Linked DNA regions of Oryctolagus cuniculus. The protein of the gene in region 1 interacts with the protein of each later gene in a pairwise test. Links are inferred from orthologs where the notes say so. Each region holds a gene or a part of one and is shown on either strand. Other genes may lie near its edges.

Evidence for each region.
Region 2: the proteins of MID2 (region 1) and MFAP1 interact in binary tests that used the Homo sapiens proteins (3 or more experiments, as listed by UniProt). The two-hybrid records come from large-scale screens. The link is inferred for Oryctolagus cuniculus from reciprocal best matches to the Homo sapiens genes MID2 and MFAP1.

Annotation. Positions count from the first base shown.
Region 1 is NC_091453.1:85,475,199-85,479,380, reverse strand, and holds the start of MID2 (probable E3 ubiquitin-protein ligase MID2), read left to right. Parts: upstream 1-1,278; 5' UTR 1,279-1,371; coding exon 1,372-1,408; intron 1,409-4,182. UniProt on the Homo sapiens protein: E3 ubiquitin ligase that plays a role in microtubule stabilization. Mediates the 'Lys-48'-linked polyubiquitination of LRRK2 to drive its localization to microtubules and its proteasomal degradation in neurons.
Region 2 is NC_091443.1:66,694,814-66,698,461, forward strand, and holds part of MFAP1 (microfibrillar-associated protein 1), read right to left. Parts: intron 2,559-3,648; coding exon 2,429-2,558; intron 2,165-2,428; coding exon 1,977-2,164; intron 1,487-1,976; coding exon 1,378-1,486; intron 1,291-1,377; coding exon 1,130-1,290; intron 1-1,129. UniProt on the Homo sapiens protein: Involved in pre-mRNA splicing as a component of the spliceosome.

The DNA.
Region 1 (4,182 bases):
ACACACACACACACACACACGCCCGCTCAGGCCCCTCTCCGTGTGCCTTCCTTCAAGATGCCAGGGCGCTGGAGAAAAGGCTGCTGGAATCAGCTGGTAGGTACAGTAGTAACCCGAACCCCACCCACCGGCTGCCTTTGCCTGCTCAGGTTTCTCTGGTCACTCCTGCCAGGGGAGAAAACATGTAATGCGCCTCCAGAGGAGGGGCTAGGGGAGCTGGGAGTGGCGGGGGTGGCGGAAGGTGAGCCCTGGAAGGTGGCCCAGGGTCCCTTCTGCCGGGGCCCTTCCCAGTGCTCCCTTGAGGTGTTAGCCCCAGCCCTGTTTGCCCCTCTCCACCCCCACCCCCCTTTGCGAAAGGATTGCCTTTTTTTTTTTTCCTCTGCGGCGGCGGAAATGACAATGTGGTGCTAGCGTGGTGTCATGGTGCTGCCCCTGGACTGAGGAGTGAAAACTCTTTAAGTTCAGCCGGGGAGAGCCGGCCGCGATAGCGAGGCGACAACCGGGCCGTCCCCTGCGGGCCGCGCGAGCTGCTGGATCCTGGCTGCTGCGCGGCGGCGGCGGCGGCGGCGGCAGCGGCAGCAGCAGCGAAGGCGGCAGCGAAGGCGGGCGGCGGCCTAGAGTGGTGGTGGCGGCGGCAGCGACGGCGGCCCGGGAGCTTGCGCTGGAGCCCGAGTCAGCTCGCTGCGGAGGCAAGCGAGCGCCCGGCGCTCTCTGGCGCGCGGAGGAGATGGCTGGCACCTGGGAACGCTATGGGTAAAACGCGCCCCCTCGCCGCGGCCCTAAGGGTCTAGTGTCCTCGCCCACTCAGGTCTCGGCCCTGGCTGCGGCCGCTCTTCAGGTGCCGCCGGGCCCGGCGCTGGCCGAGGGCTCCGGGGCTCGGCAGGGTGGAGTGACGGGGCCCGTGAGGCTGGAGGCAGCGGCGGCGGGATCCCGGTCCGGCTCTGGCTCCCCGGTCCGCCGTTGGGGCACGGGCTGCTGCCGCTGCCGCCCACCCCTCCTCCCCTCCCCCGGACGGAGTTTGTACTCCAGGGTGCGGTGCGGGGGCGGCCCGAGGCCTCCAGCGGAGCCGCGCCGGGCTGGGCGCTGGCAGTCGAGCCGTTCCCTCGGTGCCTGGGCGCGAGTCTGGGAAAAGGGCACTACTGCCTTCCCACGCTTCCGCGGTCGGCAGCCTAGTCGGCCCGGGAGGCGCCCGTGTCTGGCGGGGCTGGCCCAGCAGCCAGCGGGCGATGCCGCGGACACCCTGCCGGCGGGGAGGCCAGGCGAAACTTAATCCCTTTTCTGCCGCCGGAGCGATCCTCCACGTCTGGGTGGCTTCTTATTTCTGGCCTAGCTGTGAAAGCAGCTGTGTGGGGGAGAGGGGAAACTTAACGTATGTCCACAGGACTGACTGCGACTGAATCAGGGAGAGGTGTGTGTTTTTTTTTTTTTTTCATTCCTTGCTCGTAAGTATTAAGTAAATAACGGCGGAGTCGATTTACAGAAACATTGCTGGTTTCGGTTAGTTAGCACTTCGTGTGCAGCACATTATTTTTCGGAGGCGTTTCTTGTAGAGCAGGAAATTGGGATCCTAGGGTGGTAGGGCTCAGCACTTTCCCTCTTTCTTCCGCACTTCCATACCACCTTCAGGATCACTCACCTTCTTCCTATGGCGAAAATACCTAAATTTCTGCCCCATCGAGATCTCCCCCCATGGCCCTTCCGGCACTTCCGTGCTCACCCTGTCCCCATCAATCTGTGCACTCCCCAGCCACGCAGCCTCTTGCTTTTTCAACCACTTTGCCCTTTGGAGGATTTCAGAATGTGGGGCTGGTGGATGGCGATGGTTGTGTGTCTTTAAGGAGGATCCCTTTTAAAGGAATACAGTGTATTGGAAATTGTGTAATAGACAAGTACTGTGCGTGGGTTGCTTAGTCTGATCTCAAGTTGGGTTATAAGGGCTGCCTTTAACCCTTTTTCTGTTTGCTCCCAGTACTCCGATCAGTTCTGTGGCAATTTTCCCAATAGAGGGGGTTGTTGAACAGGGAGGTCCCCTCCCCTACTTTTTTTTCGTTTTGGGGGGCAATTTCATTCTATCCAGATGGTTATTCCCGCTTCCACACATTCTCCCCTTTCTACCTCCTCTCCACTCATCACTGCCCTGAAGGCCTAACAGTTGCTATTTTTATTTATTCCTGCCCAATGAATTATTTTAATGCCGACACATAATGTGAATTAGATTTCTCCTAATTGTTCCTCACAAATTGATTTTTGTGAGGTCTAGGAAACCTGAAGATCAGGGAGTTCATGACAAATCTGATGTTGCCTTGGCTGTATGACCTTAGCACATGCCTATGACCTTTCTTTCATAGTTGGTGCACTTCTGTAAAAGGCATAATATTGTGTGTTGGGTATTGTGAGTTTTGCCTTGGTCCTTTGAAGATGAAAGAGTTCTATAAATCCTCAGCATTATACTTTTCAAAGAAAGCACTTCATTTACCTTTTATTGGGTTAGTGGATTGGGCATTAGTAAGAACCCTAGTTTATGGGAAACCTTAATTTGCCATTGTTAACCCTTTGGAAGCCAAATTTGTTATACTTACACCCTAAGTCTGTTTCTCCCCAATGTGTGTACAATTGAATAAAAACTTACATACAATTTGGCACACAGATAATGGTATAAATCATATAAGTGCTTAAATCATATCTAATGTACTCTAACCTCACAATTTGAGTCAGACTCCTTTGAAAATCTAATCTTGCCCCTTTTTAGCCTACTTGGGTGACAGTTAGTTAATTTCTAATGAAAACTGACAGTAATTTAGGCATAGCTCTATAAGCATCATTAGCAGCTAGCAGCAATGAGTCAACAATATTTATTAAGCACCTTTATTGTGAATAGTCCTTTGCTGACTGGGCTGAGACCCCAGACTTGGCACAGCATTTTGGCCTCCTGCTTGTTCCAGGCCTAACTCCATACCTGCAGCTCCAGGATTAGTACAGGGAGGGGCTGTGCAGGGTAGAGATAGCGGCTAGGTACAGGAAGGGCTACTTCTGTCCCTCCTATTTACTTTTGTGACTACTAGAATTCCCATCTAGCCTGTTGTACCTTACAAGGCCTCCTCCAGAGAGTGCTGCTGCAATTCAAAGTGACTTGGTTGCTTCTTGAGTGTATCGGAACAGTGCAAATAGATTTAGATGAAATTGGTTTAGGTAATCCCTTCTCTAAGAGCAGGGTAACTTGCTCCAACTTGCTGGTCCTAAAGTAGTGCCAGTGGAGTCTCATAATTGTATCCAGATACTGCTCTGGGTAGTGAGCTTGTCCATTCCCTCATCCCTCCCCCCATAAAATCTGCTGACACTACAGCAGTTGAGAATGGAAACTACAAGAGTATATCTTTATCACTCAGCAAACCTCATTGGCTTGGGAAAGAGGAGGGAATGCTATCTTTTCATTTTATCCCTTAGAACTCAAGTTCTGTTTTTCAGTAGGGACATAGAGCCATGGAAACGGTGAAGATAGAGCTGAGGCACAGAATATGTTTCAAATGGCTGTTCTGGTGGTACCCCCAGAACATGTCTCATGTGGATCTGTCTTTATGGATCTTGGTAACTTCCTAGGTGTTAGGTCATGGAATGTGACTGGTGGTTAAGGGGGTGCTCTATTTCTGATTAGCAATTACATTTTGTTCCTCTCAGTGGGGAAAATGAGGCTTTCTGTTTATGAAGTGCCTGCTTATTTAAGCTGAATATTTTGACTTGCAGCACTGTGTCATCAAAATATGAGGTGTTACATGTTCATTCTGGATATTCAAAAGTTTAGAGTTCAAATCCATTTACTTGTCAGTGCATGAAATTTTGGTAACAGAGTGGTGTCTAATTAGTGTATTTCAGGTTTCTCAAAAAATTGTGTAAATCATTGAGCAATGTACAGAGAAGACTAGAAAAGTGTTTCTCAATCAGTGCATTGGGTCACCTAATAAGTGAGAAGGCCAGATGAGTGGCATTGAGATGAGAAATCTCAACTGCAATCATTCCCCTGTGCAGACTTCCTTTAGAAAAAAAAATCCCTCTGCTCCAAAGATCAAGATATGTTTCTCTTTCCACTTTTATGTATTAAAACTTTCCTAAGAATTTTCTGTGGGCTTTGGAGGTCTGCAACTTTTTCCAGTTGTTTCTCTTTCCATCTTCCCCTTCTTCCTGACC
Region 2 (3,648 bases), on another chromosome or scaffold:
CAACGGAAGGAAGACCTTTCTCTCTGTCTCTCTCTCACTGTCTATAACTCTCTGTCTCTCTCTAACTCTGCCTGTCAAAAAAAAAAAAAAAAAAAAAAGAGTGAGTGAGGTAGATATTTAAGTGCTGTAAATCCTCCCACTCACAGTATGCATGCCCCTTTTCTGTGTAACTTTGCTGTTCCTCCAATCTACAGGTGGAGTCTATTTATCTACTCCCTTGAACTAGGATGGCCTGTGACTTGCTGTGACCAGATGTCAAGTCCAGATTTGGCAGAAGTATTTATGAGTTCTGGAACTTAAGCCTCAGGAGGCCTTGCTAACATCCACCCCTGCCCTCTTGTAATGCTGCTCTGAGATTGCTAGGAAAGGTAGCTACTCAAGAAATGAGGTATTCCAGCTTACTGCCAACATCATCTACAAGACTTGGGAGTGAAACCCTTTTAGACTTTTTGGCCCAGTTACTCCCAGTAAAGGAACTGGTCAGCTAACTTCCAAAACTGAGAAATAATAAACTGTGTTTCAAGCTTCTTAAATTTTGGGTTGGGTTGCTACACAACCAGAGATAACAACATTGACTGTGTGTGTCTTAACAGGAAACAAAAGGGAGCATTAGGGGCCGGCACTGTGGTGTAGCGGGTAAAGCCACCGCTTGCAGTGCTGGCATTCCATATGGGCACCAGTTGGAGTCCTGGCTGCTCCACTTCCGATCCAGCTCTACGTGCTATGGCTTGGAAAAGCAGAAGATGGCCCAAGTCCTTATGCCTCTGCACTTGTGCAGGAGACCTGGAAGAAGCTCCTGGTTCCTGGCTCCTGCCACTGTGGCCATTTGGGGAGTCAAACAGTGGATGGAAGCCCTCTGTTTCTCTCTGTCTCCAACTCTTTGCCTTTCAAATTGAGAGAAAAAAAAAAAAAAAAAAAGGCAAGAGCATTGGCTGGCACTCTATGATGGTGAACAAAGTATGTTTCTCCTCTCTGATTTCACTCTAATAAAGGAAACTCATATTCTACTTATGGGAGACTGACTTCAGCCATAAGATCCCTCAAGAAAACTAGAATGAAACTCATGGTGGATGCTATCAGAAACCTGTCCCATTAGTGGCATTAACTTTAGGCCCATCCTATCACTCACGCTTCTCGATCTTCTCTGTCCCTCTTGATTCTTTTTAGCTCCCGGACTTTCCATGCCTCATATTCTTCCTCATCATTTTCGTCATCTGTGTTCAGGGCATCCAGTGCAGCCAGGGACCGCTTGTTCTCCTCCAGCTCTTTCTTGGTCTCCTCCTCTACAATCTGGACAGACAGAATAGTTACGACTACTCAGACAAACCTAATTACATTATTTGCTCTCTCTCGATGCTTGCAACCATACCCCAGTACCTTGAGTGTGTATTTGCGCCTCTCCTCAGCCATGCGCTTTGCTTCCTGCTCCAGCTCCTTCTGCTTCAATGCTTCAGCCTCCCGTTCTTGAACTGTCACTCGGTCCTTCCTGCATTACAGAGGTCCTATTAGTTGCCCAAGTCCTTAGAGTAGAGCTCTTTGTTCCCTTAGATCTAGGCCCATTACACAACACCAAACAATCTTTGACTCTGTTACTTGTGAAGAACCAAAAGTGGCAGATATCTCAGGTCTTTAGACAAAGTTCATTCATCTTTGAGGACTGCCTGGATAGCAAAGAATCTGCTGGACTGTAACTGATAGGATTTCTAGTCATTAAAAAAGGAATATGAGTTTACTCTTCCTGCTTAATTTTCTGCTTAAAATTGATAACCTTGAGCAGATATGTGCTCTTTAACGGGAAAGAGAGATGTGAAAACAAACAGGCTCTCTGCTAATGCCAAGATATTCTTTAGCAAGGGTTATAACACTGGGCAAAATGCTTCCACTTAGTGCTTAGATTTCAGAAGATCATTGGATAGAAAAGAGGCTTTAATCCTGGTGTAACTAGTGGATTTGGACCAGGTTTGTGAAATACTTACTTTCGAATGAAGACTGGCTTAAGGCGAGGCTCCATCTCGTCTTCGCTATCTGTGTACTCTTCATACTCAGACTCTGATTCAGACTCCTCCCCGGAACGTCCCTCATCTTCCACCTCCATGACTTCCATCTCTTCGTTTTTCCGCTCCTGTGCTCGCTGACGCATCATGCCACGGCGCCGCTCTATTTCCTGTAAAATCATACATCTAAGCTAGCCGGTCAAATGCTCTTAAAAGGATTTCTTATTTTTCCCTCATCAAGCTCAACAAATTCTGATATGAACCAATGCACCTTAGCATCATTCTATTATTTTCAATCCTATCCCCACCCACCAGGGAACATTATCAGAATTTTGCAAAAAAGAGCAATATTGTGCCAACAGGAGCTTAGGAAATGAGCACTGGCTTCAATTTTTTCATGCACCCAGAAAAACTTCCCATTTTCCTAAACATACCTCATCATCTATTTCCTCCTCCTCTTCTTCACTGCTGTCTTCTCTTTCCATGCGCCAAGCATCTCCTTCTACTTCTGAGTCACTTTCTCCTACTACTTCAGGTTCCACTATTTTCCGATGTCGAGCCAATCTGAAAAATGGTATTTCCAAGGGTAAAACCAGTGTTACAAAAATGAAGGAGTATCAACCACACTTCCTTCGTCAGAGAGTACTCTGACATGTTCACTTTAACACTGAAGGCTAGTGATTGGGAAACTGAGATGCAGGTCAAAAAACCTACACCAGAATGTCAGAGCAAACAGTCAAGTAGAGTGTAAACCGTTAAACATATGCTGAGGCATCCTGAGTAACACAGCCAACTTATGGGGGTGCAAAGGGATATTTTTAATAGCTCAGGGTAGTTCATAATTACAATATTAGATCATAACACATTCCTTTCAATGACATCATATCTATGAAACTGGATTTTTGGTGGTCACTGTGATAAAAAGCAAATACAGCATGAAACTAATGGGAAGGGGCAGGCATTATGGTACACTGGGTTAAGCTGCCCCTCACAACACTGAGACCCCACATCAGAGTGCTGGATTGAGTAGCAGCTATTCCATTTGTAACCCAGCTTTCTGTTAATGTGCCTGGGGAAGGCAGCTCTCTGCTAATGGCCTGAGAAAGCAGAGAAAGATGGCCCAAATACTTGGACCCCTGCCACCCATGTGGGAGACCCAGTAAAAGCTCTAGGCTTTGGCTTGGTCTAGCCATGGCTAGACCATTTGAGGAGTGAATCAACAGATGGAAGATTGATATCTCTGTCTCTGTCTCTTCCTCTCTCTGCAACTCAGCTTTTCAAATAAATAGTTAAAAAAAAAAAAATAAGCAGTACTGGCATCCCAATCCCATATGGGCGCTGGTTTGAGTTCCAGCTGCTCCATTTCTGATTCAGCTCCCTGCTAATGCACCTGGGAAAGCAGTGTAAGATGGCCCAAGTTCTTGGGCCCCTACACCCACATGGGAGACCTGGAAGAAGCTCCTGGCTTTGGATCAGCTCAGCTCTGGCTGTTGCCGTCATTTGGGGAATGAACCAGTGATTGGAAGACCTCTCAGTGTGTGTGTGTGTGTCTATCTCTCTCTGTAACTCTGTCTTTAAAAAAAAAAAAAAAAAAAAGAGACTACCTTCATTAAACCAACACATCATCTCTGTGTCATATTTTCTTAACAATTAG